Nothobranchius furzeri: one gene and its partners. The main gene of each other region encodes a partner of the protein of the gene in region 2 in a complex. Links are inferred from orthologs where the notes say so. Each region holds a gene or a part of one and is shown on either strand. Other genes may lie near its edges.

Region 1 (6,329 bases), on a different chromosome or scaffold from region 2:
CTGAGACTACTGGGGCAGCGGCTCTCCTCTCTGCTAAGATCTTCCTTGCTCTTTTCATCTTCAGCCTGGATTTGGCCTTTGCCCTCTTGGCTCGTTCAGAACTCCACCCCTTGGAGTCTTCGTCCTGGCCAAGGCTGGGCTCATCGTCGTCCTCCAGCTCCCCTTCGCTGTTAGACGACCCCATGCTGGCACCGCCCACTCCTCCTAAAGGTCGGGCGGATCCTGGGGGAGTGTGGATGTCACAGTATGCCGTCTTGCGGACGCTAAAGGAGGTCCCATTTGCCCCGGTCTCCCTGACAGGCTCCATCTTCATATAGAGCCCCGCCTGCTGAGCGCAGGTGACGTGGAACGCTGTGTAACAGTTAGCTTTGTGACACTGGATGCAGGCGCCTGAGCCGCGCTGTTTGCAGATGTAGCAGGTGAGCTTCCAGCGTGCAGGAGGGATGTGCTCGATGCTATCAATCGGCTCCAAAAAGACTGTGTTAGCGAAGCAGACCTGAGAAATGGCAGCAAACGTTACTTAAATGACTAAATAAAAAAGAAAGGACAAATTGGATGTAAGTAGTAGTGTATGCTTTTACCTCCGGGATCCAGAGGGCACACACTACATGAGCCCAGCGTCCATCGTCTGTCTGTTTGAAAGCTCCTCCTTTGTTAGGACACAGAGCACAGTCCACAGCTCTGCTGGGTGACTGAAGGCAGCGCCGACACAACCACTGACCCTCTGGGATGTAGGGCACCCCGTAGCACTCTTGGTGCACGGCCAAGTTACACATGTCACAAAACAGAATTACATTGCTATTCTGGCATTCGCCGTCATTACAGATGCAGCAGACGGCGTCCTCGTCAATCAAGGTGCTAGGGTCTGCCTGAGGGGAGGAGTAACAGAATGCATCAGTCAACAGCTACGTTACAGTGAGTGAACTATTCTTGCCCCTACAGATAAGTACAGGTACCTTGTTGTGGCTCTCAAAGTAGGACTCCTTCTCTAAGCGGTCCATGAGGTATTCAAAGACCTCCTGAGGGATGGGCGTCACGCTGTCACGTCGCCGTTTGTCATTCATGATGCCGAGCCAGATGTAGTCCTCCTCATCCATGTCATACTCCACCTCTTCATCCAGCTCCTCCACAGACTTCTCAATATACCTGAAGTCCAAGTTTACATAACAAAAAGACAAAGGAGTCAAATAGAGAAGTGAAGCTTTCTAATAAAACACAGTAGAAAGACAATATTACAGAACTTTTTCATATAAGTAAACAAAACAACAAGTATAAAATGAAATAATCATTTTAGTCCTAAACCTGTAGTAGGATAAAGGCCGGGGTGGGGCATCGGGCCTCTCTTGGTCCAGCTCTCTGAACACGGCTTCTGGGAGCTTGACTGCAAGACCAGATTGAGGGTTGTGATGGTGAGATAAACCATCCTTCTTCTTATCTTTACTCTTGTGCTTCCCAGTCTTTGGGGTGGCCTTTCCACCATTTGAGGACGGAATTTCTGAACGGTCTTTACCGCTTCCTCCTATTTCGCTGCCTCCGGCTCCACTGTCACTACCGTTACACACCCCTCCCCCACAGCTACCAGTTCCCGACGGTGGTGCATCCTCTGCATCACTGTCTTCCTCTGAAACCACATCAATGTCGTCAAAGATGTTAATGCGGTGAATGCGTCCCTGGATTTCTAGTTCCACCATGCGCTGCGTCTGGGCATAGGTCATGGCATCTCTTCCAGGGGACTGGGAGTGCTCTGACCGGTTGGGGCTACCTGGCGTGGTCCCTTCAAGACCAGGTCCTCCATTGCCGCCACCATCATCCGTATCCCCTGAGCCAGCCAGGGAGGCACGAGGAGGCCGTCCTTTTCTCTTCTTCTGGGGCATGGCCTGAGCAGGGGTTGGATTGTCGTGGTCGTAATGGTACAGGTGATACTCAATGCCACTGAAGCTCCTGTAGACTTTCCGGCAAGTCTCCACAGGGCACTCATACGGCGGCTTGGTGGCTCGCAGATTGTGACAGAATGTCTTCACATCAAAATCTAGTCCCATCTCGCCAGCAGCCTCTTCAGGGCCAGGTGTGGTTTAACTTTACATCTGGAATAGAACACAAGTGGGAACAATGAGGAGACAAGAAATTAAAAGCTGTGGGTTTAAACTACAAAATTACTTAAGAGTTCTGAGAGTAGTTATCTGCTTTTACACAATTTAATTACTTGCGTATTAAATACATGCATTTAAACTCTTCATTCTACTAAATCTTTTGGAGAAAAATGTAATATTCACTCTGCCAGGCTGAAGAGACAAATGTGAGTAAAAATCACTTATGGGAAAGGGTTTTACACTAGACAAAATAAAACAAGCACAACAGAAAATATTTTAATCTAAATAGTTCCATGCAATAATGACCCACAGTATTTAACGATAATTTCATGTAAGATCAGTTTTGTTTGAATGGCATTGCTCCACGCATGTAACTTGTAATAACGTGTCCCTACAGTGCTGTTGGGATATTTCTGTAAATGGATAAAATGTGAACACAATTCCCAGAGGGAAATATATGAACCCACTAACAGGTGCACTTTAAGACAACATCCTAACGAATTTCTGTCATGTTTGGAGTAATCGAATAAAACAAATAAGACTGCAAATGTAGAAATAGACAGAGGGAGAGAGAGGGATATATGATAGCTAGCTAGCAGGGAACTCTTCAAACATAATGCTTTTAGTTCAGCTAACGTTAGCATGCTTCCCCCAAACAATGACTGTAGCTGGCGCAATTAGCTAGCATGCTAACAACTGCTAGTAAACAACATTTGGTCCCTTTTCAAACTACACAGCACAAATAACAAGGTTTCCACAAACACGAGGCCACAAAACATTATTTTTCTTATCGAGGATTCTTTTATCCGTAATAATATTAACCCGGTGTACCATTTTGTTGATAATGTTGAACTATAGCTGTGCTCAAATGTTAGCTAAACAAAGGCAGATGTTATGTTAGCGCTACAACGCATTTTGATACAACTGATATGAAAATAAAATGACCCAATTAATGTTTTTAAGTTAGAAAGACTGCAGTTTGATTAATTATTCAGAGCCAGCGTTTCCCTCCATATTGACCTCACCCTGTGGATTCCATACACAAGGTAGCAAAATAAGAGCGTAACATTATTATTTTATAGGCTTTGCCACAGGAAAACGGTATTTTTGACCAAATTTAACTAAGAACCATTTACGTTAGGTCACCACTATACAGCTATTTGTTTTTGTAGCGCTTATTTTGCACCAACGTCACTTTGTTTTCTGGACACATTGGGCTATTATGGTGGATTACAACAACCACAGAATCGTGTCTTCTCACATTTCCCGAATGTCAATATATGCGCAAATGCAACCATTTAGTAAATAGCACTACATATCCCGGCTACTAACGTTATAAACACTTACTACTGCACGTTCCTCAAGCAAACTGCGCGCATCGGACACCTCAGACAGCAGCTCAGACGGCTTGCAGATCGATTTTAATTCATTAGATAGTCCCAGATGAGGCCACGGAAAGCATAGGTACATTGAAACGTTTTCATGGAACAATTTCGCGTCCATATAATTTCATTGTGTGGGGAATAATTTAGTAAATCGGCTGAACAAAAGGGGCAACCATTACTGTAACGCTTAGCCGTGGAGGCGGATTGACACATTCGCCACGCAAAACAGGCTTGCTTGACTGCTTTTAGATTGGATCAGACGGAGGGACGCAGTGGGCTGAACTCTCTGCTCTGATTGGTGCTTGGATTTGAATACGCTACGTGATTGGTTGTTAGAAGTAGAGTGGGCGGCTCCACAAAATCACCATCCAACCTAAGGGCTTCTCTGGTCTGCCTACACTTCATTAGTGATTTGGTGAAAGTAATTCACAGGCTCTAATTTTCAGTTTTAATTTGTCTTTTCTTACACAAGTTGTAGTTAATGTTACAAATTAAACTCCAAATTTGGTCCAGTATCATTCTGTATACGAGTCTGTCCATCAAAGATGATCATCTTCCTTTACTCAGAAATTTATTGTTTAAACTTTACTTAAAATAAAAAGTGTGTAAATCGTTTTATTCAATGAAATCAAAACTGCGAAGAGGTAAATAAGATACGACTTCCTGCTGTCAAATTATAACAGCATTGACTAACAGCTACACTAATGGTGTGCACACAATAATTAATCAAAACCATCAAGCACAAAATATTTATTTCTCTCTCTCAACATACAGTTTGTGATAAGAATGCAGCAGGACAAAGTGGGGTAAGCAGGCAAAAGCAACCCACACAGTTTAAATACCAGCCAAAGATAATCAGAGCATAATCATAAGGACAATGATTTCCAAAAAGGAGTGAGGTGTGCAGAGGAACAGTGTCAGAAATGCTCCTCCTCCGCTCATTACAGCTCTCCGTATGATCACTACATCCAAATGAATATGCCTGTATTCATCATTTCCTCCTCTGCTCTCCAACCAGTTAGCAGCTAGGAAAAGTGGAACATACCAGATACAAGTTACAGAGAACAGAAATCTCTTACAATTGGAAATATTTCACCAAAGCAGAAGACTCTGCATAATATCCTATAAAAGTCCAATTCAAACCGAATTGATGGAATAATATACAATAAAGTGACCTCGGCTCCACAAATGCTATCTTCCAACAGTCAAAATAAAATGTACAAATACTACAAGCTATACAGGTCACAGCTTTGGCAGGACTGGGATGCTGAAATCATTTGTGTGGTGAAGATGTGAGATCTTGAAACTTTTAACACTTTTCCTGTTCCTATGCTTTGCGGATCATGAAAATATTGGCCATGCTTGTCAGTGGTAAAAAGTACAGTTTGGTGAAACCTGTTATATACAGTGAAGGAACTCCCAACAGAATAAATGGAGACAATATGTTGTGCAAATCTCCCACATCAAGTTTCATGTTAATTTCACAATACAATGTTGAAAATAAATGCAAAATAAAACAGGTTAGGCTATCGTCACAAACAGCTCATAAAATAATCAACACATCTTGTAGCAAGGCAATAACACTTCTTTGCTACATTGAAAACTAGTATTTTGTACCATCATATGGGAACAAAATGCACAACTGTAATACCTTGGTAAAGTGCAGCATTAAAACAACAAATCACAAAAGGAAAAAACATCCAATTTAATGGGTGATTGCACAAAACCTTTTACATAAGTGTGCACCGAGTATTAGCCAAGTTGAAAGAACTTTTGAAAGAGTCAGATAGGTGGTTTGTAGTAATTATACTTTGCCTGGTAACTTCTGTCTCTTGCTTGGACTTGGAACTTTAACATTTCAGTGTTCTCCTGTTGCACACATCACAGATAAGGCTTGTGCCAAGGCCACAGTCAAAGCTCTATGAAAAGGGGTTAAATTGCACTTTTAGGCCTCAAGCTTTCACATGGTTTTGCTACATTCTGATCAAAACACAACCAGAGGCATCTACTGTAAAAAATGATTATGTACAGTATATATGGCTCTGAACACTCCCCATCCCCTATAACACTGCCAGCTCATGCGCATCCAATCAAAACGAGGCTCTGTCCCACTGAACCATTTGACCGGAACCAGTTGTTTTTGGCTGCTGGCAAGTATTCATTCCAGTAACCGTTTCAGTCCAAATAATTGTTTATGCAAGGCATCAGAACATCTCATCTAGATGGCATTCCATTGGTCAAAGGGGTGGAAAGTAAACACAAGTTGAAACATATTTCTGTTGTGTAAATAAAAGTATATATACTGTAGTAATAGTGCAGTTTTACAAGGGCATTTACATGTAAACAAAAATGATTAATTGGCATTAAAAACAAAAACCATACTTTCAAAAGAACTTGAATGTAGAAATGTTCTGCTTTAAAGAAGGAAATACACATATTAACCCATGTTCAAGGCACTGCACTCCTGCAAATATTTTAATCATGAATTAATTTCTGTTCCTTAATCTGAAAACACTAGTGTTGGATCCCAAAGTAGTGTAATAGATAAAACCTAAAGTTAAAACAGAAGCAACTGACAACCGTGTGAATTTAGCTGTAGTGACCAGATAGGACACACACTGACAAATTTTATGTAGGAACAAAGCCAAAAAGCACAAGGTATTCAGACATCACACACACACACACACACACACACACACACACACACACACACACACACACACACACACACACACACACACACACACACACACACACACACACACACACACACACACACACACACACACACACACACACACACACACACACACACACACACACACACACACACACACACACACACACACACACA
Region 2 (6,064 bases):
ATGGAAGTGTATGTCGTGTATTGATATTGCGCGTAATCTTGCCACACAACCACTCGCGCATGCGCACAAAGATGAAAAAAGACGTCAACAAAGATCCTCGTATAACGGATGTCCGACTGAAAATCTCATTTCTTCTTCTTCTCCTGAGTGCATCTTGGACAAAACCTGCCAGGTGAAAAGAAAAGGAGAAAAAGAAACATTAAACAGGTCATTTTTGGACCATTAAAGGAACACCTGATCCGACTAATGGTCTCACCATTTCCCTTTTGGTTTTGTGGCTAGGTCCACACAGGCAAAGTGAAACCACTCGATTGGACACTAAAAGTGAAAAAGAAAAAAACGTGAGGATGACAATATCCACTTAAATCTGAGGAGAAACATGTCTGCAAAAGAAAAGGCTTACATCAGGGTTATCACAGCCAATCATCTCTCCGTATGACACCTGATGGCACAAGCAGTATGTCGGCTCATTGGGATCAACAGGCATGTCCAAAACGTCAGACGGTTGCATTGGCAGGAGAGCTTCAGTCAAGTCTGGACTGAAATTCAGACACATTACAGAAAATTAATAAAGGGTAAAGAAATGCATTCTGGGTTTTACGTATCTGCAAGGCCAAATCTACCTGTTCTTTATCTTTTTCTTTCTGGGAGAGTCTTCATCAGAACCTTTCCGCCCCCGTCCCCTGGATCCACGTTTATCTCTCTGTACGCGCAAATCGCTTTCTGCACCAAATACACCAACACGCATGTCTAACATCAAATCTTTACCAGTAGCATCTCAGTATACCAACTTACTTTTCAGCCCTCTTCCATCTGTGCTCTCATATCCACTCAACTCCAGTTTCTCCTTGAGCTCGTTCTCAAACCGAGCCAGATCTGCATCTAACCGCCGAATATGTTTGTCCACCTGAGAGGAAAACGGACCTTTTTTAACATTCAGCTACATGAATCACACCTTTTCCTAAAACGTATTCGGCAACATGAGGAAAACTCTTAACAAGCCATTAAAACAGGAAGAAAGAAAATCTGCGAGTCTTTTTCCACACCGACCATTTCATACGTCTGCATTGCAAGCTGGACTTTATCGTCGCTGAACTCTTTGCACTTGCTGTAGGCATTTTGAATCTTTTGTAGATGTTCCACTCTCTGCTGCGAAGCCAAGTTCTTCACATTCGCCACGTATTCTTCAGCCAGCTTGTCAATCTCTGCTTTCTTTTCTACACAGCAGAAAAATATATGTTAGGACCAGAGATTCCCCCGTACTGTACTTCTGCTTTACGCAAATAACAGCTGCTGATTTTCAATGGGGGAACATTTTTAACACCAACAACTATTCTGTCACTTCAGATTATACATATATTATCTCATAGATGACAACTTCTTGCAAACACAATATGCACACTGCCACAAACGTGAATGTTTAACTTCTTATACCTTTTGGATGATGAAATATAAATGTAAAAACAGCACCTTCAGTTCTATTGTCCAGGTCTCGCATCAAAGTAAAGTTCCTCTGCAGCTCACAGGGCAGGTTTTCAATACCTAGAGAGATGATTACCCAGGAAAGACATTTATTACTTTTGTTGAACATACCCAAGTTCATTTACAGCTAATTAACATAGGAAGTAGAGTTCAGATATCACTGGAAACTACGGTTGGGCATCGCGCATCGAGAATCCACGGACGATCTCCGTGAAAGATAAACGTAATCTGCAAATTGTGATCAACGCTTTCCAGAGCTGATCACACCAGCTGTCTGTGTGCAGCACCGAGTCCCCCTCCCCCCAACCGACTCGCAGCGACCAGATCCAAACAGACGCGTCCGCCGAACTTTTACTCCGTAATGTAAACTTGAATTCTTGCAGCGAAAAATGCAGCGTAGAGGAAACTTGTTAAATACGTCAACACGGTGGATTTAATAGAAGCTTTAAAGAACAAACTCTGGACGGTGTGAGGTGAGTTTGTGTCACTGCAGAAATAAAAACACACACGGAGCGTCAGCAGTCAGACGCAGCCGCTCACCAACACTCGAGCGTGAGCGTCAGAAGGGTGAATAACCTGTAGAATAATTATTATTATTAAGTCATCATGCTAGAGCAACTTTCTCTGTGGTGAACCACATCAGCTGCTGCCCTAATAAATAATAATAATAAATCACACAAAGTTGTGAACATTTTAATTTCCTTTCTGAACTATTTCTGTTGAGTTTTAATGTTTAAAATCTGTTAGATTGTTACCGACAGCAGCAACGTTTAAGTTTCTCTTCCTGTTCTGACTGAATGCTGCTGCAGCATGGAGGTGTAGTTCTCCGTCATCCTGGACATGATCATCCTGAGAGTTTTAGCTGAAGACAGCTGGACGTTTCTGGATATGTTGGAGACATTTAGCCTCTCATCCCAGAGGCTGCTTCCAGACTTTGGTTGTGGTCAGAAACAAACACACTGGTTGTGCTGCAAGTCTTTTTGTCTCCAAAACATGTTTTTGTCTAAATGAGGGTGATGTTGTTGTTCATAGAGTTAAAATTCATTTTGAAGTTAAGATTATTCCATCAAGTAGGCCCTGTGGTTAGCTGGCTCATGTAAAGCATGTCATGTCTGGAAAGAATCGGAATCGGGAATCGATAGGAACCGGAATCAAAACAAGGAATTGGAATAATTCAAAATCAAAGATGCCCAACCCTACTGAAAACCTCAGCTGATTCTGACATGTTGCAATGAATATTTTTGGTATTGAAACAAACGTGCAAATCCTAAGTTCAAAATGGATCATTTCTGACCTTCCTAGTGAAAAAAATAGAATGAATTACAATAACAAACAGGCTTTTAATTATCTCAGAACATCAACAAATCATCCACTTCTTGTTTTGATTACTTTAAGAATTCCCAAACAGAAAATTTACATTAATGAACAAATCAATAAAAGCATTTTCTGAATAACTAAGATTACAAATACAATGTAAAACACATAAAAGTCTCTTTTTTCCAGAAGGAATTTAAGTACTTCTCACCGTCAAAGACATTTGAATGAGATTGAATCTTATTGATCTAATGACACACGGGATTCCTAGTTTCCTTCATTTGTGACAAACTCTCGGTAATAACGTGATTATAACTGGAGTCAGAGTTCAAACAACTATGGTTACACAATTAAAGCTTATGGAGATGTATTCAATGCAACATTATTATTACTTTGCGCAATAGCAAAATAACTTTCAGTGGCAGAATAATAGTGTGTAACAACATCAGCTGCAGATGTGTGAGGATTTATAGTAACACAAGCTGAAAAGCACGTCAAACACCCCGCCTCGGCTGGAGTCTAAACAGTTACGGGAAACGCGGTTTTCAAAGCGATGCGCATACATCGAAGAGGTTGCTGCAAACATACAAACTGACAGAAAGTGATTTCAAATAAGTCAAAGATAAACAATATGCTCTTTATCAATAAAGTATTACTGTTGTAAATAAAAAAATAAGTTGATATTTTAGTAATAAGTGAAACACGGGAGGTTTATTACCGTGTTTATCAATGACAGTTTATTTCATCTTTACCCATCTACTTATCTCGCTGCGACAGCGAGTTAGCTGGAAAGCTAAAGTTTGCTAATGTAACAACTACTTGTCTCTACTTTTGAGCAAACTATTCGATAAAAATCAACGTAAAGCACAAAAACATTTTTGACAAGTTATTATCGATCTCGGTGCATTATCAGATACTTACTGTCCAAATAATGCTCCAAGTAAATTGCCGTCGCCATTTCTGGCTATGTATTTAGCTGCTGCGTTACTCTGCTGCTTCTGTGGTCACGGCTTCACGGGGCGCTGTTGCGTTTGTTTTACTATCCTGAGTTTGCCGCCGGGCGATGGCTAAAATGTTGGCTCCCGCCTTTCTATTTCCCCAGACCAAAATTAAACATTTTTGTTCCCAGGCAAACAGCCTAATTTCGTATTTGGTCACTTATATCTTTCTACACTCTTAACAATTCTAAAACTCAGTTCTTGTGCCAATATTTGTCCCCCACCTCTCACCATTTTCTAAATTCGATTTTATTTAAAGGTGAATTATTTGATGTTTAAAAAAACACTTTCACCGTCAATAAACAAATAAAACCACACATATTTGCATTGCCAAGAGAAGGGCAAATATTTCACGTGTGTGTGCACAGTGAGTGTGAGCTGTAACCAAGCGCACCCTTGCTGCTTTTTTGCTAGCACTTTCCACAGCTGTCAGCTGAGCGGTTACGTCATTCAAAACAACACACCTCCCTCTCCAGAGACGGGCCACTTGTGAAGATGCTCGGTGGGGCGGAGTTAACATTGACTGAAACATAACGGCCCTCCGGTCTAAACGCTGTAGTCACTTTGCTAACGGTCAGGCCTTTTCATCTCGAAGTAAGGCATCGACCTTTTGCATATCACTTCCGCGTTTTAATTATCACGAAAAAGACCGTTTGGGACAAACAGTGGAATAAAAGTAAGTATGTAAACCACAAAATAAGCTTGTTGTCTGACAGAATTGTACTGTTTTCTCACTTTGTGAACATTTTAAACTCATAAGTAGCCATGCTAGTTCACTAGCTATCACCTAACATCTGGAAACTAGCTAGCAAAAAATGCTATTTGTTTATTTCATTTAAACAATGTGTACTTATTTCATCCCATTTCATCACCTGCCATTGAGACCCATACAGTTTATGTAAATTAGAATTAAATGATTTGTATTAAATGCAGTACTATAAATAAACATAATGGCACAACATCTGAACTTTAAACACTGAACAGGAACTCTATTAAAGTCACACGGTAACTTCTTGTGCTAGCAGATCAAACTCATTTGAGCTAAGTCTGCTAATAGTGATCACTTTCTAAAAGACTTTAATTTGCCCTCCACGTGAGGCTGTTTTCTTCTGAAGGAGACTGGTCAGTTATGTTAGCAGTCATGAGGTTTGTTTTAGATGCACCACACCCAGTCATCATCTCCAGCTCTAACTGACTCACGTTGTTTAGGGGTTGCAGATGGCTATGGTAAAGAGTGGCTGGCTTCATAGACAAAGTGAGTAATTGTGTTTCTGTGTATTCAACTGTCCCTCAGTGGAAAAAAAAGGTCTACATCAAGAAATCTTGTCAAACAAGTGTTATATTTAACTTTTAGGTACCATATTACGCCGGTGGAAAAGAAACTGGTTTGATTTGTGGGCTGATGGCCGGCTCGTCTTCTACAATGATCAACAACGGCGCGACATGGAGGATGACATTCACATGAGAGTCCACTGCATCAACATCCGCAACTCTGGAGCATGCCAGGGTTTGTTTTCTTTCCACACATTTTTGCGTAAAAATCACACTTGCAGAATGTTATACACTTTTTTTGTTTAAAAAAAATCCTTCTCAACTTTTGTCCTTCCTCCCAGAACTGAACCCACCAGAGGGAAAGATACGTGATGCATTGTTCCAGATAGTGTGCAGAGATGGACGTGTCATCAGCCTGTGTGCAGACAGTGCAGATGATGCCCTGTAAGCACATTTATTTATTTATTTATTTTAACTTCTTTGCTGATAAAAGTGGATGCACAGAAATGAAATATGTTTACATTCTGAGAAAAACATAATTTATATTCTCAAACATTTTTTGTTGCAGTGCATGGACCATGGCACTGCAGGATGCCAGGATTAATACGGTGAGGTTTTGCTGCATCTGTGGGGTTCTGTATTTGTTTTGTTTGGTTAAATTCCTGAGCTAAAACTTTAAAAAGCATTTGAGTTACTACAAGTTTAAAACATTAAGCTTTAAGCTGAAGACGTGTTTTGTAATGTCTCCATCAGGGAGCCGATCATTCTCTGCTTTCATTTGTTCAGAAGCAATTGAACTCTTTTTTTTTTGTTATTGGTCGCTTGTAGAAGTCTCATTTAATTTGTTGATCATGTAGGTGGTTGCTACTCCTCAGATTGGTTTTGCAGAAGTGATTGCATCTGCTCCTCCCCCCTACTCCGAATATACTCACCCACAGGTACAACTGTTTGTAAATATGATGGGAAAATACAACAAATATCTATTATGTCATAATTCA
Region 3 (5,626 bases), on a different chromosome or scaffold from region 2:
AAGAGAATAATGTCAAATACCTTCAACTAAATAAACAGTGTTAAGAATTCATGTCAAAGAAAAACGTTCAAGTACATGGTCAATCATAATTTATTCTTATGCTAAAATGTACAGCATTTTAAGTGACTGACAAAAGGAGAAAAGTCATAAATACAAGAATGTCATTCTGTTCGATTTGAGTGCACATAGCCGGATATTTCCCCCTGTTCTCACCAGCAACTCTGTACAGGTACAAAGGCTACAAAAGAGCAATATTAACAAGAAAAAATAAAACAAAACACAAGTACAAGTTGCGTTTTACATGCAATCCATTAGCTTAGTTTGTGTCTATTCACAGGCTCTATTCTTCTACAATTCGGTAAAATATAAATTCCACATTTTATAAAGATAGAAAACAAATCTACAGATGGAATGAAAACGTAGCTTTAAAGGCATTATGTAAAATATCGACTTTGGACTAAGTTTATATCTTCTTTATCGTTATTCGTTGTTATAATCATTTAATTCTTTTAAATTCTGCCACACTTCCGGACCTTTTGAAATGTTTTAGAATTTTCAGGGTACAAACACTGAGATATGCTTTGTTTTTAGTCTCTTTTGACAGAAATCAGTCTGCTTTATCAAACAGAAAGCTGCCTCAAGGAGATCCGTTACAAAAGGCTTCAGAATTATACACACATCGCAATAAAACCTCTCAAACCAAACAGAAAACAGGACTAAGTTTACATTTTTTTTACATTATTTGATTTAACAAAATATAGTTTTATCTTTGTCCCTGTGGAGGGATACCTAATAAAGGCCAGATACTTTTAAATGGCTTGCTATTAAGCACAACACTTGTACAGTACTACTCAAATGCACTGTCACTAACGGAGACTGAAGCATGCTTTTTCTCACTTTACAAAATAAGTACAATAATTTAAATATACAAAGGCATGAGTATAGTACAAACTAAAGGTCAGCACTGTTAGACAGGTACACTGAACAGGTTCAAACAGCCACTATTCTCCACTTGTAGCATTGAATGGCTTCATTTGAGGCTGCTACACGACTGCAAGACCACAGATGAAATCTCTACGTCCGAGCTCTGACCCCGCCTGGCCTAAAGACACATCAGAGACGCTAACACTAATTAAATAGATTTTCATCATAACGATGTAAGGCTTCCCATCAGGAGGAACAAAAATACTTTTTAACGTTAGCTTTAAAGTGAACTCACTGATGAAACTTTTTGCATTCTTTACAAGTGCTGCTGCTGGTTTTTAATTAACAAACGTAACTGAAAAGGACACCAGAAAACGGAACAACAAGGCCTGATCAGTGCATCGTTCCAACGGCCAAAAGCACGCGGGAAGAGGCAGCTCTGTCCTGCGGAGAGTTACCGCCTGATTAAAGGCCCTTTCAGGGACTGCTTGGACATGCCCGTGTTCATGTAACCATGGTGACCAGCTGGAGAGTACACCATGTTGCCATGTGGCGGAGCCTGCATGGGTTGCTGGGGGTATGGCTGTGTTCCCATCATGCCCATCTGCATAGAGTACTGGGGTGACTGGTTCATATAGGCATGGTTGCCATGGTAGCCACTGTTCATCATAGGCTGGCTCATGCTGTAGCCATTCATAGCGTTGAGGGAGGGCATGTTCATGGAGTTGACGTTGTAGCCTGGCGCCGGCATGATGTTCATGCTCATGTTCATGCGTGGCATGGCAGCCAGCGTCCTGGATGGCGCCTGCATGGCGACAGTCTGTGGTGGCCGGGAGTACATCTGCTGCTGGTGGTGGTGGTGGTGGGACAACGAGGCCGACTTGGAGCGTGAAGAGATGTGACTCTTCGATGTCATTTGGGGCATCCGCTGCGAGGGCGGAATGCCCATGTTGGGTTGGAGCATCATGTGTGGCGGCGAGCTGAGGTTTGGGGGAGGGGTCATGGCGGCCTGCACCTGTGGGTTGGGGACCCTGTGTGGGGTCTGGGACAAAGATACCAGGCTGGAGTGCTGTGACGAGAGTGACGGGGTGTTTGCGTATGAGGTGTGGGGTATGGGGTGTGAAGCCGAGTGGTTGAAAGGCAAAGAGTGAGAGTGGTCCATGAACGTGTTGGTAAACTGCTGCAGCTTGGCCAAACTCAGGCCTGACGACTGAGCGTAGTGCCCGCTGCCGTACTCCCCCTGGCGGTTCATCCTCTCATAGAGGGCGAAGTTTGGGTTTCCAGACTCGGGGATGTCTGCCAGCTGCACGGTGGTGGTGAAGTTGGTGGGTATGGCGCACTGAGCCATGGGCTGCTGCTGCTGCTGCTGGCTGTGATGACCGTGTTGATTGTGAAGACTATGCTGAGCGTGCTGATTGTGCTGGCTGAGCGGATTGTGCTGCGGGTGGTGATTGTGGTGGTGACTATGCTGGTTGTGGGGATTGTGTTGACTATGCTGGGTTAGCTGATTGTGCTGGCTGTGCTGATTGTGTGGGCCGTGCCTGCTGTGGGAGTTGTGTTGACTGTGCTGGCTGCGCTGGCTGTGTTGACTGTGCTGGTTGTGCTGGCTGTTGCTGGGAGGCCTCTCCACCACCACGCAGCCTTGCGGCGACTTGACGTTGCAATGTGGCGGCGAGCTCAGACTGTTCGCCTGAATCATCCCACAGCTGCCAGGGTTAACGGCGGCCATTTGTTGGCTTACAGCACAGCTGCTCTGGGGCAGACCGCTGGGGGGGATAGTGCCATACGAGCAGCTGTTCTGGGAGGGACCTGCGCCACAGATGCTACCCCCCATGGTGGAGTCATAGCTGCTGGGGTTCTCATAGTTCTCTGTGGTACTCTCAATGCTGCCGAGATCACTGAATCCACTGTCCACCACCTGCTGGGAGTGATCGGACACAGACGGCACATCCATCATGGGGCTCGTCTCCATGTTGTGAAGCGAGGGCACGGAGATGGCGCTGTGATCAGGGCTGATCTGAGTGTAGCCGCTCTCCATGATGGATACTGCAGGGCTGTTAACGGAGCGTACGGACTGGCTGGGATGGGACTGTGCCGAGGAAAGGGGACTGCTGTGGTTTGACTGAGGACAGTCGTCCAGCGAAGTGAGCTGAGGGCTTTGGGCCACGTGGGCAAAACTCTGTAGATTCCTGCAAGGCTCCTGGCTCTCCACACAGTCCTGGAAAACGTTCTCTCCCTCGCTTTCTTGCGTCAGGGACTGAACAGCTTGAACAGTCTCTGAGTCAATCTCCGTGTAGACGGGGTGATCCTCTCTCAGCACGGGACTGATTTTTGTACTCCCTGCAGGCAGAAGAGGTGGCTGATTAGGACGAGGACTGGGTGTGCTTTCCTCCTCGGACTCAGACTCTGCAGGATTATCGGAGTCTGCAGCCGCTATTGAAGCGACGGCTGCATCTTCAGGCGGAGGTGTTGCTTCTGTCTTCTCTGTTACTCCATCCTGCAGGTTTTCTGCAGCACTAACTGCTTCTTTCTCACTACAGAGGTCTTTAGCAACCTGCTGACTCAACTCAGAGCCATTGTCTTCTTTTGGATCTAAAAAAGGTTGGGTGCATTTTGGTGTCTCCTTTGAACTTTGTTCTGACTCTTCAGCGCTGCTCTCTGGCACTGCTGCCTTGCTGTGACTTTCATCTTCATCATCAGCATCCTGATCCTCTAGCTGAGCTCTTTTCTCCTCCTCTTCATCGTTTTCCTCGTTGTCATTCTCCGGCGATACAGAGACCTCGGTGCTGAGCTCCACATCTTTGGCTGGTGAGTCCTGATTGAGTCCACTCTCCCGCTGGTTGTCCTCCGGTGGTTCTGGAGAGTCCGCTCGAGTTGCAGGGCTCGGTGAGACAGCTTCAACGGATGCAGCAGGAGAACACACCGGAGAAGCAGGAGAACACACAGGAGAAGCAGCCGGTGATCCCTCAGGAGAGCTTGACGTCTGGGAGCCGTGGTCAGCAGGGCTTGGAGGCTCCGACTGGAGCCCGTCCTGCGTTAAATCCGGACTAGCCAAGCCTCTGCCTACATTTCTACCCTCATCTGCGCTGATATCCTGATCTGTTTCGTGTTTTGCCTCCTCAATGCGAATATGGTGCTGCTCGGCCTCCATGGGGGTTTCAGGGGGGGTGTAGAGGTTCAGCTTGAAGCCCATCTTTCGTTCATTCTTGAGTCTCCATTTAGGAGGACCTCGTTTAACCCCTTTGGGCCAGCCTTTCTTCCTTTTCACTGGACGAGGTCTGCTGGGTCTTTTGGAGACAACGTCAGCTCCTACAGATGGAAAATCAAAACAACAAAAGCTTCACCGTCTTGTCCTGTTGGTGATGAAGGTAAATCATGTAAAAATATGTGTGAATAGCAACTTAAGATACCTTCATTCCAGAGGTCAAGATCTTTGTGTGCATTCTTCTCAAGCCTTGGGCGACCTCTCCGGCGTTTCATCTGTATAATTGATGTCTTGTACTTTTGTGTCTCTTCCTCCTCTTCATCATCCTCGTCGTCATCGTCGTCATCCTCCTCGTCCATCTCGCCCATTCTGGACGTGTGTTCCAGCAGGGGCATGGGGCGTTCTTCGTCCGAGTTGTCGAACGGTTCGTTCAACACCTCCGTGGTCTCAGAGATGGTTTCTGTCGTTACGCTGCTGTTTATTCGCTTCCTTTTGCGCCCTCGCTTCTTGAGAACAATCGCGCTCTGAAAGGCAAATAAAACAAGCAATGAAAACAGACCAAAACCTTGTTTGCAGTTGAATGACTGAAACTAGGGCACTAGGCGTGTGACCTCCACGAGGATACAGCAGGAACCAGCCCAGGGGTTGTGTGCTAGAGGTTTAAACCCCACTGTAAGACTAAAAGCAATGCAGCCTGGTGTGGGAAACCACGAATGAGACCGGCAGAGCCAGCAGAAACCACACTCTATATTTTACATTCTTTAGTTGTTTCCCACCGGATGCCTACGACGCGACCGCTTTCCTCCTCAGAACTGTCAACAAGCAGAATGTGAAATCAATACTGTAACTAATGCACTAAATAAACTCCATATCATTCTTTTTCTGGTTTCTGTGCTGCTGTTCTCGAACAGACCTCGCTGACATCACCAAGTCAGCTGTAATATTATCTGCAGCACAAGGGGGCAGTGCCATCTAGACAGAACAGATGTAAGAAGCACACAAGAGGGCGGTAAATTAACCATGACCACTGACAATAGTACAAGGTTTAGCCTGCAAAGTCTCAACACCAGCAGTGAAAACACAATCCATTATCTACTGTCGAGGGCTCACAGGGGAGGCTCCAGATGACAGGAGGAAGCCATTGAACCCTACACCACATCTATGAATATTTATCAAACCGTTCCATCTCACTCCGGTACACAACACGCTCTTTAATGAGGGGAATATTTAGATAGCTGTGTGGTTCCACTTTACTGCAGAATTTGTGGACAGAAAAAGCACACAAACAATAAAAGTCACCTTTCTCTTGGCTGCAAGCATCGTATGAGCTTTTGTCAGGATGGGAGGCGAGCCGTCGGAGTCGTCATCAGCTTCGTCATCACTCACCGCCTCTGATGGCTGGATGCGCCTCGACCAGGGGGGAGCGGGGCGGCGTTCGTACGTCCTGTAGGGAATCTTGCAGCGGACCTTGGTGAGAGTTTGCCTGCCGCCGTGAAT
Region 4 (5,626 bases), on a different chromosome or scaffold from region 2:
CGGCTCGTCCAGCACCTCCGTGGTCTCGGAGATGGTCTCTGTTACAACGCTGCTTTGAGGGTGGCTGCGCTGACGAAAACGAGGCCGCTTCAGAGGCTTCTAGGTAGAAACATCGTCATTAGATCGTTTAAACGGCCTAAAACCACAAACTTTAACCAAAACAGGAAAGCATCCCACCTTGCATTTGGGCCCTAGCGCTGGCTTAGTGAGAATGGGAGGGGAGCATGCCCTACCCTCTTCATCATCATCTTCATCCTCCTCCTCCTCATCATCCTCCTCCTCCTCCTCTTCATCACTGCTTCCACTGATGAGTGAAGCATCGTTCAATCGGGCCATGACAGAGGGCGGAGTTAGTCTGTCTGCAGGCCCCTCTGGAAGGCCGGGCTTCGGGCCTCTCTTCTTCCTCGGGGGGCGCCCCCTCCGTGTCATGGGAGTTATTGAGGGGTGCCTGGCCATGTCCAGCGGGTGAAAAGCTGCAGACTCGGCTTGACTAGAGAAAAAAGAGAGTGGGCTCCTGGATGACACTGTTCTTCCTCCAAGTGTTCTCTCCTCATCGTCGTCGTCCTCCTCCTCCTCCGCCAAGCAAATCTTGGGTGGCCGTCCAACCCGTGCAGTGTTTTTTATTTTGCCCCAAGGCAAGTTTTTGGGCGGACGTCCCCGTGGCCTGCGTTCTCCATTTGTCGGTGGTGGGGGTCTTGTCCCTAGGACAGGTGGTGGACCACGGATGGAGGGGGAATTTGGAGAACTCTGGTTGATGGGAAACCCCAGAAAGCCTTTTGTTTCTTCATCCTCTGCACTGGGCTGCATTTGCCAGGGTGCTGGGAGGACCTTCTGGCTTGGTTTGACCTGTTCACATTTTGTAAAGGAAAATAATCAAACATAACGTAAAGCAGATTTGAGATGGGTTCCTACATTCCACAAACTAAATGTACATACCTCCTTGTGAACGTCTCCTCCTTCATCCTCATCCACCTCATCCTCTCCGTCGGTTTCAGAGACCACCGTGTTTGTCACGATGACCGGAGTCCAGCGGAGACACTCGGGGTCGACATCCAGCTGCCGTGGCCGGGCTTTTAGACGAGCCATGTGGTTCGCCACTATCTTCTCCTTTCGCACCAGCACAAGTCTGAAGGAAAACACAACACCAACGGCATTATGAGTCCTGAATGAGTAATTTAGTGGTCGACTAATCTGTTTATGCAGGGTTTTTCCTGCGTTCAAATTTGCGTGGCGGCCGCCTCCAGCTAATTTTGTGGCTCCCCAGCCTGATTTCACTCTGCCCCCAGCTACATGGATGTTATTTTAACTGCAGTTGCAGCGTTACGCCACTACAGGGGCGCTGTATCAGCAGCGGTGCACCGAAAAGCACTAAAACAGCTGCAGACAAAGAAGATCAAAAAGCTGCTTTTCTCGCTAGTTGGTACTTATCTACGGTTGGTGCTGTTGCAGGTATGTTTGGCTCTGAAAGGCATTGATCAGAATTTGCCAATCACGTTTTTCACAGAAATTGGCCAATTTTGATCATCCCTGATATTTACTAGAAAAAAACTTTATTTAACTGTTGTTATAAATCAACATCGACACAGCAGTGTTTCCCCTACAAAGGCTCAGGCGTAGCACTGCACCACAGCTGCAATTCCAGCGCCACACCTACAAGATTCCCCACCGGCTCAGCTTTGTGGCAAAGTGGCGGCATTGTTTAACGAAAGAGGCTTTTGAGCAACAGATGATAAATAATGAGTAACTAGTCTTCATTAATCTCTGACCTTTCTCCTCGCTGCTCCAGCATGTTGAGGCTGTGCAGGGTGGTGGTGATGTCCTGTGGGCAGATCCCTGTCAGTTTGCTAAGTTGGCGAATGGTGATCCGTCGGTCATGGAGCTCGTGGAGACACTCCAGCACCACGCTGCGCCAGTAGGCCATGTAGGACAGCCGACCCAGGTCTGACAGAGGCTTCTCTGGAGATCCAGGCTGTCCCTCCCGCTTTGACAGCAAGTAGCCTAAAAGGAGCAGAGCATTAAAGACGTTATAACTTAGTTACTCATGTTTTAGGTTGATGCTGGTTAATAGTGGAAGCACTGTGATGTTCTTACTAAAGTCGATGAGAAAACGCCCATAGCCCTGCCGCTGATATTGTGGAAGAATCATGATGCATGATACGTTGTATTTCTGTTGGCAGTGCTTCTCCTGCAGAACAAACATCAGTTCAACCATGAAACTGAAAACATTTCAACACAAATATGTTTTGATGATTTCCAGCAAGGAATCTGAATGTACTGAATGATCAAAGGAAACAGCTGCTTAGGGCCCCTGGACCAGCAGGGGGCCCCCAAGAGCACCTGAATTATGACAAAATACATATTAACAAATCTCTAGAGACACTGCTCCACCAGCAGACCAGGTCAAACTTTAGTTATCAGCATAAAGATATGGACTGTTACACTGACTTATGACATGGTAACAAGTTAAGCGTTTACTCCAAGTAACATCACTAATTATTATTATTATTATTAGGGAAGAATGCTAAGAGCTACCTTTCACAATGTTTTCATCCTCTGTCCCTTCACTCTGAGCCTCTGAGCCAATACATAATTATTAGGGAAAAAGTAAAAATTACATAAATAACATTTTAAAAAATGTCTAAGGCAAAAACCATTCTGTTATATAGAGTTTATAAAATAATTATCACCAGCTCTACAATAAACCATTAAACTGGTAATGCTGGTGATGGTGGGGAGTGTAAATGGCAACCCCCAAACCCAATTCTGCTGACAGACTTTGGGTTCTTCGGATTAAAGGAGCTTTGCTGAGAGGCATTAAAGGCCAAGTTCAAAAGTTTGTTCTACTCGATTGTAGAAATCCAGCACCAACGTAGCACTAAACCTACCCCCTCCCGCCTTCGGATTGGTGAGGTCATCAACTGTAGGAGTCAAAGTGCTCTTTGCTTCTCCCAAGATCTCCCTCCCACCTGTGACTGTACAGTAGATGAGCGCCGTAGATGGCTGATCTCAGCCCAGCCCCCCCCCAGCCCCCCCCCCCCCCCCCCCCATTGGAGTCTCATGTTATGTTGTGTTGTCTGAAGTCCGTTGCATATCTGTTGAGGTGTTTTTTTGCAGAGCAAAGCTGCCCTCCTGGTGGAGGGTAACTCTGAAGTGCCTTTTTTCCCTCCACCTGAACCAATCCTCATGTAACCCTCTTATCTCCATTAAAGTAGCGCGACTCGGGTTGCGAATGACCACAGTCACCAATTCTTGTCATGTGTCTTGCCCATGTATGTCTGATATCTGAATTGTATGTACCGCAACTCTAATTTCCCTCTGGGATTAATAAAGGATTGATTGATTGATTGATTGATTGATTGATTGAACACTCTTTTTGCGTGGATTTCTGATGTAGGTTGGAAGTCAACTTCAGTCAGCTTGGCTCAGCGCTTCCTTAATGCAGGAATGCGCAGTGCTCAGTCGCTCACTGACACTATTATTAGCGACAAAGTTGCTACTTTTAAATATGGCCGTAATACTAACACATTTCTTATCCGTGTGGTTCCTGACAAAGTCATGCTTTTGGGAGGAAAAATTAAAGAAATGACAGTTTTTAACAGGTTTTATCTGAACACGTTTAAGACGAATGTTTTATTTGATCTAATCTCTGGTTTCTAATATCGAATTACATTCTTACTTTTCAAATCAACAGCATAACAGTTTAAGCCCAAACTGGGTTATTTATATAAATTCTGCAGTCCTATGGAAAAACATTACTGCATGTAGGTGGCAAAAAAATACATTTAAAGACACTAAGATGGAGGCCTGATAACTCAAATAATACATTTAAAAAATACTTTTTTTTTATTTCTATTTAAATAGTAGAGTACAGAGTCTGCGTGCTCCTTAAGAGTCCATTCTGCTAAGAAAATCCTAAATTTCTTTTGTGAAAATCTACAGAATGATGCACAGATCTGCATCAATAAATTTTGTACAGCATAGTGATTATAAATAAAGTTAAAAAATAAATGATACCGATCTGTGGATTATTATTTTACTGGACAAAAAACTGGGCAGTGAATGATGTTGATAAGAAACTCACTCCAGTACACATCTGACCTATACATTCATTTGTTAGAGAATAATACTTGGTTACATTTTTTGTAAAACAAAAAAAATATCTTTGTGGACTAAAACTTTTTTGAATTTTAGTCGACTAAAACTAAGACAAAATGCAATTCCGTCATCAAGACTAAGACTAAAACTAAGATGCCTGCCAAAAACAACATTGAACAGCAGAGGGCGTAGCGCTTTGCTGGTGTATCCTGCTATCAATGCTGTTGCATCTGTATTGGGTTTAAATTGTGTTTCAGAGACTTTTCAACATCGACAACTTTGTCCTCCAGCTCTTCATCCGGTAACCTCCTTTAAACTCACGTTTCTGGTCATTTCCTGACACAAATAAAAGGTTTGCTGCATTTCTTTGTACTCCTTCAGTCATGAGTAAGGGTGTAGCGGTACGCCAACATCATATTCGGTTTGGTTCAGTGTCATTGAAGCGCTCGGGCCGATACATTTTCGGTATATAATTATTATATTTATTTAACATCTGAAGCGGCTCCTATAGTGGGCAGAACCAGGTGTCATCACAGGCTGCTGATCTAGCGTGATGTCTTTATTTCAGAGAGTATTTGTGCAGCTATGAGTGTCGCACTCACACAGTGTTGTGTTTGACTGTTGATGCTCCGTGTTATTTCTGCAGCGAGCCTTAAAACCCACCTCACATCGCCCTGAGTTTCTTCTTTAAAACTCGCACTAAATAACGAGCATCCTCCGCGCCGTATTTTTGTTGTAGGATGAAAACTTTACATCAGTTGTCCCAGGGGGAAAGTTCAGCTGCTGTGTTTGTTTAAATTTTTGCCACTGCGTCCCGGCACAGTATGAGGGAAGGGGGGTAGGGGTGATGTGACACTTTGTTCAGCGTCTCTACAGGCTCCAGCAGCAGCGACAGCCAGCTGGTTTGATCTGCTCTGAAAGGCATTTATCAGAATTTGAATAGAACATTTTTTTAACCCTCCCAATGTCCTCATGGGTGACCCCGCCAGGAGAGTTGACCACTGAGCAGGGTTCATGGGTTATCCCTTGAGGTCCACGTGGCAGGGGTGGTGCTCACTCCTCACCCCTGCCACGTGGACCTCAAGGGATAAACATGAACCCTGCTCAGTGGTCAACTCTCCTGGCGGGGTCACCCATGAGGACATTGGGAGAGTTAAACGGAGATCGGGTGTGTGCAGCCATCACGCGTCACTCAATATAGCGTCTGTGCGGAAACTTGCCTAGGAACTTTTATTCGCTGCACTTAAATCACGCAAATAAAAATTCATTATTTAACGAAACGGTACGCAAGTGGACCGAACCGAACAGGCCGAACCGAAGCGGTTCAACACTCCCCCGTGAACCGTTACACCCCTAGTCATGACTGTATAAACATTTATATCATCTGACTTTTACTGCAAGTTTTTCTTTATCCTGCTCTGCGTCTGTTGCTAGATATGTTGGGTTCTCGTTTTATTTTTTTGAGGGGGAAGGGTGGGGCTGTTGATGAAGTTAAAAGAAGCAGCGCCCTGACCAACCACAGCCTTGCGGT
Region 5 (6,154 bases), on a different chromosome or scaffold from region 2:
GTTTTTAATTATTATATTTATTTAAAAATACTTTAAAAGAATAAACACAATTTAAACGTAATTTTTTTATTAAATTGTGGGCAACATAAAACAGATTGAGTGCCATATCCTCCCCAAAGTTCATAAAGATCTGATGTGGTATTTCAAAATAATGTATCAAAAGTTGGCTCTAAAAGCAATTTTGACTATTCAATGGTTAATTTCTCAAAAACTGATTGCACAACATCATTCCACATCACTCCTAAAGTACACATAAAGCTCTACATCCTCCCCGACTTTCATAAAGATCTGATATGGCACTTCAAAATAAAGTGCAATCAAAGTTGTCAATAATGACAATTTTCACCATATTCAATGGTTTCTTTCTCAAAAACTGATTGTGCAACATCATTCCACATCACTCCTAACGTACACATTGAGTACTACATCCTCTCCAACTTTCATAAAGATCTGATGTGGCATTTCAAAATAAAGTGCAATCAAATTGGTCAATAATGACAATTTTTCACCATATTCAATGGCTCTCCAAAACGGTCTGATTGCACAACATCATTCCACATCAATCCTTAAGTACACACCGAGTACTACATCCTCCCCTACTTTCATGAAGATCTGATGTGGCATGTCAAAATAAAGTGCAATCAAATTGGTCAATAATGACAATTTTCACAATATTCAATGGTTTCTTTCTCAACAACTGTCTGATTGCGTAACATCATTCCACATCAGTCCTAAAGTACACATTGAGTACTACACCCCCCCCCCCCTATTTTCATAAAGATCTGATGTGGCATTTCAAAATAAAGTGCAATCAAAGTTGTCAATAATAACAACAATTTTCACCTTATTCAATGGTTTCTTTCTCAAAAACTGTCTGATTGTGCAACATCATTCCACATCAGTCCTACATTACACATTGAGTACCATATTCTCCCCCATTTTCATTAAGATCTGATGAGGCATTTCAAAATAAAGTGCAAAGTTCTCAATAATGACAATTTTCACCATATTCAATGGTTTCTTTCTCAATAACTGTATGATTGCGCAACATAATTCTACATCACTCCTAAAGTTCACATCTAGTACTACATCCTCCCCGACTTTCATAAAGATCTGTTGTGGTATTTCAAAATAAAGTGCAATCGAAGTTTTCAACAATGACAATTTTCAGCATATTCAATGGTTTCTTTCTCAAAAACTGTCTGATTGTGCAGCATCTTTCCACATCAGTCATAAAGTACACATCGAGAACTACATAAGCCCCCATTTTCATAAAAATCTGATGTGGTATTTCAAAATAAAGTACAATCAAAGTTCTCAATAATGACAATTTTCACCATATTCAATGGTTTCTTTCTCAAAAACTGTCTGATTCCGCGACATCTATTCTACCTCAGTCTTAAAGTACACATCGAGTACTAAATCCTCTCCGAATTTCAAAAGAATCTAATGTGGCATTTCAAAATAAACTGTGATCAAAGTTGGCCATAAAAACAATTTGGTCTATTCATTGGTTAGGTTAGACCTCACGATTAATGTGTATATATGTCGATAGTTCAGACACACATCTTAGAAGTGCGCTTTTATTTTGAAAGACACTCTTGTAGTTGCGCCCGTAAAAAGCCAATGAGGGCTGGCTTGACACCATGCTTGACACTCGTTTCCGAACGAGGGCTGGCTTTTTACCGTCATTTTAAATAAAACCACCAGCTAAATTTAGACCAATGTGATTTTTAAAGCAATGTAATGAACCCACTATTGTTTTGTAGGGTTGATAACAAGAAGATGAACTTCATGTGATTAGTCCTTTGAAGTTTTTGATTTGCTGCTCTAACTTCTAAAAATGCATCTCAGCTACGGTTTCAAACCCATTAAAATCTACAGGATCTTACATTTTCCTGTCTATCCGGGTTTGTTTTAGGTTTTGCGTTTGGTAGTAATTTGTTGAAGAAATCCACGTTAACCGGTGAGGTTTAGGACCCGGAGGAACGAGCGGTACAATAGAGCTCTTGTGGCGTGTTGGTGGGTGGGCTGCTAGGGTTAGAGATTCCCACTGTGTGCTGGGATTCAAACTCGTTTTAATCTAAAGCTGGGACCACGGCCCATAAACCTGGATGTCTCTGCGGTCTGTATGACCCATTGTGTTTGGAACCAAGCGGAAAGCGAACATGAACTGAAGGTAACGCGGGAGGAATGTGAACAATATGCGCGTGTGTTCAGTGTGCCAGGATGGTTATTCAGGCCACAGGGCCTGGTCCTTTTCAGCTATCCCAGGAACATGTATGTCCCTCCACCCTACAAATCGCAATACCATTGTGTTAACTCTTGTATTGTAGCATTTAGTTATCTTCTTTTGAGAACTAAAAATGGCTGAGCTCAAAAATATTCTCTTTAATAGCTGTAGGAAGTGACATCTTTGTACGGTGGTGGCGCCATGTTTGATTTCCTCGCCTGCCTGCCGAGGGCCTGTGAGTGTTTGGCGCCAAGACTTCCCCCCAGACAAAACTAGCGTTACTTAAAGCTTGAGTACTTTGCCTGTTGGACTTGTAGCTCCATGAATCCGCCTGCGACTAAATGCATGGCATTTAGAACAACGCAGTGGTGTTATGAGAGAGAGAAGTAAACGTAGTGGAAACGATTTAATCGCTGTTTCTGATGTCACATCCGTACCGTAGCAAGCAAGCTGGAGTATTTTACTGGTGTTGTAGCGAAAAATGCACCCCTCTCGCAGCGTCTCCCCTGCCAGGGATTTGTGACTGTTATTAACAGTTTGGTGACTTTATCTCGTTCCTGCCTGAACAGCTTGCCTTTAAAACCACTCCCTATACACAACAAGTCTATATATCACAACAAAAAGTCAAATGTGTCCATGTTTTATGCTGGAGCAATAGTGGCACCCCATTAATCATTACTCCTGGCTTTGTTTCAAACAAAAACCTTCACTTCTGCTACAGGGGTTCTTTCTGCCTATGTTACCAGCTCAGTTAGCTGGTTCTACTGTGACATTGCCATCAGCTAACACAAAAATGTCCCTAACAAACCTTTAGGTCATAGTAGCTGAGAGGCATCCACGATACACTGCTCATTTTACTTTTGTATTCTTTGAATGAAAAATTCCAAACGGTGGTTATGTTATAGAGTTGACATTTAATACATGAAATACTTATTTGGACTAACAAATGCAAAAAAAAAAAAAAGATGTAGTTTGAAGCCTAATTCTCGTAACTTTTGTTTTTGTACCAGATGTTTGTAACACAAACATATATTGTGTGTCTGCTCTGTCTTCTCAATCCCCAGTGAGTTGTGGCCGATGGCTGCTTATACTGAGCCTGGGACATCAGTATCTCAATAGATAGAGCGGGTTGTCCAGTAATCTGAAGGTTGCAGGTTCAATCCCGGCTCCTACCAGAGAATGCTGCTGTTGTGTCCTTGGGCTAGACACTTAACCTAGCTTGCCTACTGGTGGTTGTTGGAGGGACCAGTGGTGCCAGTGTATGGCAGGCACTTGGCTTAATGAACTGACCTGTATAGGAATGTTTACTTTGAAGTGTCTTGAGACGACTCATGTCATGATTTGGTGCTGTATAAATGATCTCAGTTTAATTGAATATATGTACATGGTAGGGCTGGATGATATAGAAAAAAAGGAAATCAATAAAAAAAATTTATATTGATCGATATTGATAATTATGAAAAAAATATTAAAACAATTGTAGAAAATATATTTTACGTGAAGCCCTGGCCATTTTCTTCTTGGTATTTTTATTTTTCTCCACCTCTTCTGGCTGAGACATCTTGCTGCGGCTGCCTCATGCTCTGTTTTGGCTTGAGAAGGGGAGGGCCCGGTGCCTGAGTCTGTGGTTTTGATTGGTTAGGAGTAAGTAGTTAGTCTAATATGCTGCTACCCGATGGGTATAATGAAAAAAGGAAACTTTTTATCGAAGTTTTATCGACCTATTTATTTTTTTCTTATCGCATCACACGTCAATCGATAGACATATTGAACTATTGATTTATCGTTCAGCCCTAGTACATGGTATGCTTAAGATTTCATGGTAAAAAGAAGTTGTGGTTAGCGAAGCACCAATAACAAAATCCTAGTAATTGGACTCTGCCAATATCAGGGTGATTGGCTAAAATTTTAATGACCCTCCGGTCTGTGAATGTCACTTTGCTAAGCAGTGATTAAAAAAAAATCTTTCTCTGTTAATTCACCATCAGTAAAAATCCGTAGGGCAAGAATTAGTCATTTGCGTCAGCTTTCACCAACCAGGATTGGTGCATCTCCTCGTTGCTTTGTCTTTAAGCTTTAGTGTACTAAAAAAAAAATAATATTAAAAAATTACATTTAGTTGCCTAATATTTAAATAATTCTCATTGAAAGCCCATTCACAGCCTTACTCATTGGAAGTTCGCTCATGAGATCATTTTATTCTATGACTAAACACTGAATGTTTACAATCAGTAATCAATTTCCCTCTGGGATTAATAAAGTATTTTTGAATTTGAATTGAATCCCATATGTGTCGACCAGCAGCGGTTTTGGTGTTTTAGATCTCCTGGGCCATTTTGTTGCAGAGGTGGAGCATAAACAGCCATTACGTTGGTGGGAATCAGTCGATTAGGCGTTCTTCTCTGGATTCTATGTTTTACTTTACTCTGGCAGATACAGGACCTGGCCGTGTGCCTCCTCCTCCTCCTGCTGCTGCCCCTCCTGCCCTCATGGGGAATGTGAGGCATGTCCTGTCTGTTAAAGCAGCTCACTGTATGTGGGGCTACTCTGGGTCTGAGTCCCTCAGCATTTTGAAACCATAATGAGTTTACCCGTGGTCCTGTGGGCTGAAGGTAAACACCGCTGGCTCGTGGTGTTGTCTCTTTTTCACTTCCATTCATCTGAATTACGGCTGTTGCCCAAATTATGTTAGATTATTGAGAGTAATTCGGGGAGTGTTTTTTTCTCTTTATATTTTAGTAAATGTCATGAAGAGGCAATAAATCTTCATCCTGATGCAAAGTATGATGACAGAATAGATCCTTGTTTTGTATTAAAGCTATTTAACTGACTCACTTGTATTTTTCTTTTGCAGAGTTACAACAAGGTGGTTTATTATTCGTCAGAATTCATTAGAATGAGGTTTATGGTGAGTAACGTTTTGTGATGGTTACCGTTGGAATGAAAAGGCCTCCTGTAATAATTCCATTTTCTTTAGGACTTATCAGGATGAAACGTCTCAGGTCGTCCAGCAGCAGTGACAGCTCAGACAATGAGAGTGAGTCGCTGCAGGGACTGAAACTACATCTGACAGCTTCTTTTCACTTACAGTTTGTTTTCTGTCAGGTCCTTCTACCTCCTTCTGCTCATTTAACAAGTATTGCAGCAAACCTGGAACCCCCGCCTCGAACCCAAAGAAGCCGGCTGAAGTAAGATTGGTTTTTGTTTTAGTTTACTGTGTGTTAATAAAGTCAGGACCAAAGGGTTAACAGTCTGTGTTTCTGGTTTTGGCTCACTTCCACAGGTGTTCAGAAAAGACCTGATAAGTGCTATGAAGATACCCGATTCCCACCATGTCTCCCCAGAGGACTTCTACCTTCTTGCAGACACCTGGAAGCAGGAGTGGGAGAAGGGTGTCCAGGTGCCAGCGAGCCCAGAAACCATCCCAGATCCATCAGTCAGGTATGCCCGTCTCATAGCCAGAGACCTTGCCATGGATAGACTGATGTAAAACATCTTCTTTACAGCCTAAAAATACACTGTTGATTCCAAAAGATTGGTTTTGTGTCTTTTTTGTTAGGGTTATAGCAGAAAAGTCCAAAGAAGTGCTTTACACCCACCAGAGGAAGTACATCCAGTGTTCGAGCCTGGAATCAACAGAACCCGGATATGTTAACATCAAAGAGCTGGCAGAGGCCATGTGTCGCTACGATCTGGATGACATGGACCTGTACTGGCTGCAAGCACTCAATCTTGAGCTTCACCGCATGGGTACGAGGTGCATGGTGTAGAGCAGAGGCCCTTGGCTCCGCAGTAGGGCTGAACAATCTATCATTCTCCGATGGAAATTGCGGTTTTAAGTGATCGACAAAGCAGGCTGCTTTGTCGATCACTTAAAACCGCAAAAACAAAAAAAAATTAAAATAAAAAGCTGCTTTAAGC

Evidence for each region.
Region 1: ing5a (region 2) and brpf1 share a complex: the UniProt entries of both Homo sapiens proteins name them as parts of the MOZ/MORF complex. The link is inferred for Nothobranchius furzeri from reciprocal best matches to the Homo sapiens genes ING5 and BRPF1.
Region 3: ing5a (region 2) and kat6b share a complex: the UniProt entries of both Homo sapiens proteins name them as parts of the MOZ/MORF complex. The link is inferred for Nothobranchius furzeri from reciprocal best matches to the Homo sapiens genes ING5 and KAT6B.
Region 4: ing5a (region 2) and kat6a share a complex: the UniProt entries of both Homo sapiens proteins name them as parts of the MOZ/MORF complex. The link is inferred for Nothobranchius furzeri from reciprocal best matches to the Homo sapiens genes ING5 and KAT6A.
Region 5: ing5a (region 2) and jade3 share a complex: the UniProt entries of both Homo sapiens proteins name them as parts of the HBO1 complex. The link is inferred for Nothobranchius furzeri from reciprocal best matches to the Homo sapiens genes ING5 and JADE3.

Annotation. Positions count from the first base shown.
Region 1 is NC_091755.1:57,354,615-57,360,943, reverse strand, and holds the start of brpf1 (peregrin), read right to left. Parts: upstream 3,613-6,329; 5' UTR 3,438-3,612; intron 2,085-3,437; 5' UTR 2,040-2,084; coding exon 1,303-2,039; intron 1,147-1,302; coding exon 957-1,146; intron 870-956; coding exon 582-869; intron 497-581; coding exon 1-496. UniProt on the Homo sapiens protein: Scaffold subunit of various histone acetyltransferase (HAT) complexes, such as the MOZ/MORF and HBO1 complexes, which have a histone H3 acetyltransferase activity.
Region 2 is NC_091748.1:41,162,663-41,168,726, reverse strand, and holds the start of ing5a (inhibitor of growth protein 5a), read right to left. Parts: upstream 3,852-6,064; 5' UTR 3,755-3,851; coding exon 3,718-3,754; intron 1,543-3,717; coding exon 1,471-1,542; intron 1,218-1,470; coding exon 1,051-1,217; intron 908-1,050; coding exon 796-907; intron 724-795; coding exon 624-723; intron 540-623; coding exon 404-539; intron 319-403; coding exon 257-318; intron 166-256; coding exon 126-165; 3' UTR 1-125. Other genes in the region: plekhb2 (pleckstrin homology domain-containing family B member 2), read left to right, coding at 5,013-5,049, 5,149-5,301, 5,408-5,510, 5,635-5,674, 5,924-6,004. UniProt on the Homo sapiens protein: Component of the HBO1 complex, which specifically mediates acetylation of histone H3 at 'Lys-14' (H3K14ac) and, to a lower extent, acetylation of histone H4. Component of the MOZ/MORF complex which has a histone H3 acetyltransferase activity.
Region 3 is NC_091756.1:40,156,705-40,162,330, reverse strand, and holds the end of kat6b (histone acetyltransferase KAT6B), read right to left. Parts: coding exon 5,429-5,626; intron 4,654-5,428; coding exon 4,335-4,653; intron 4,234-4,334; coding exon 1,379-4,233; 3' UTR 1,155-1,378; downstream 1-1,154. UniProt on the Homo sapiens protein: Histone acetyltransferase which may be involved in both positive and negative regulation of transcription. Required for RUNX2-dependent transcriptional activation. May be involved in cerebral cortex development.
Region 4 is NC_091757.1:30,186,995-30,192,620, forward strand, and holds part of kat6a (histone acetyltransferase KAT6A), read right to left. Parts: intron 2,186-5,626; coding exon 2,092-2,185; intron 1,999-2,091; coding exon 1,767-1,998; intron 1,127-1,766; coding exon 937-1,126; intron 847-936; coding exon 178-846; intron 100-177; coding exon 1-99. UniProt on the Homo sapiens protein: Histone acetyltransferase that acetylates lysine residues in histone H3 and histone H4 (in vitro). Component of the MOZ/MORF complex which has a histone H3 acetyltransferase activity. May act as a transcriptional coactivator for RUNX1 and RUNX2.
Region 5 is NC_091756.1:62,532,055-62,538,208, forward strand, and holds the start of jade3 (protein Jade-3), read left to right. Parts: upstream 1-2,018; 5' UTR 2,019-2,179; intron 2,180-5,087; 5' UTR 5,088-5,141; intron 5,142-5,210; 5' UTR 5,211-5,221; coding exon 5,222-5,270; intron 5,271-5,338; coding exon 5,339-5,421; intron 5,422-5,516; coding exon 5,517-5,674; intron 5,675-5,792; coding exon 5,793-5,983; intron 5,984-6,154. UniProt on the Homo sapiens protein: Scaffold subunit of some HBO1 complexes, which have a histone H4 acetyltransferase activity.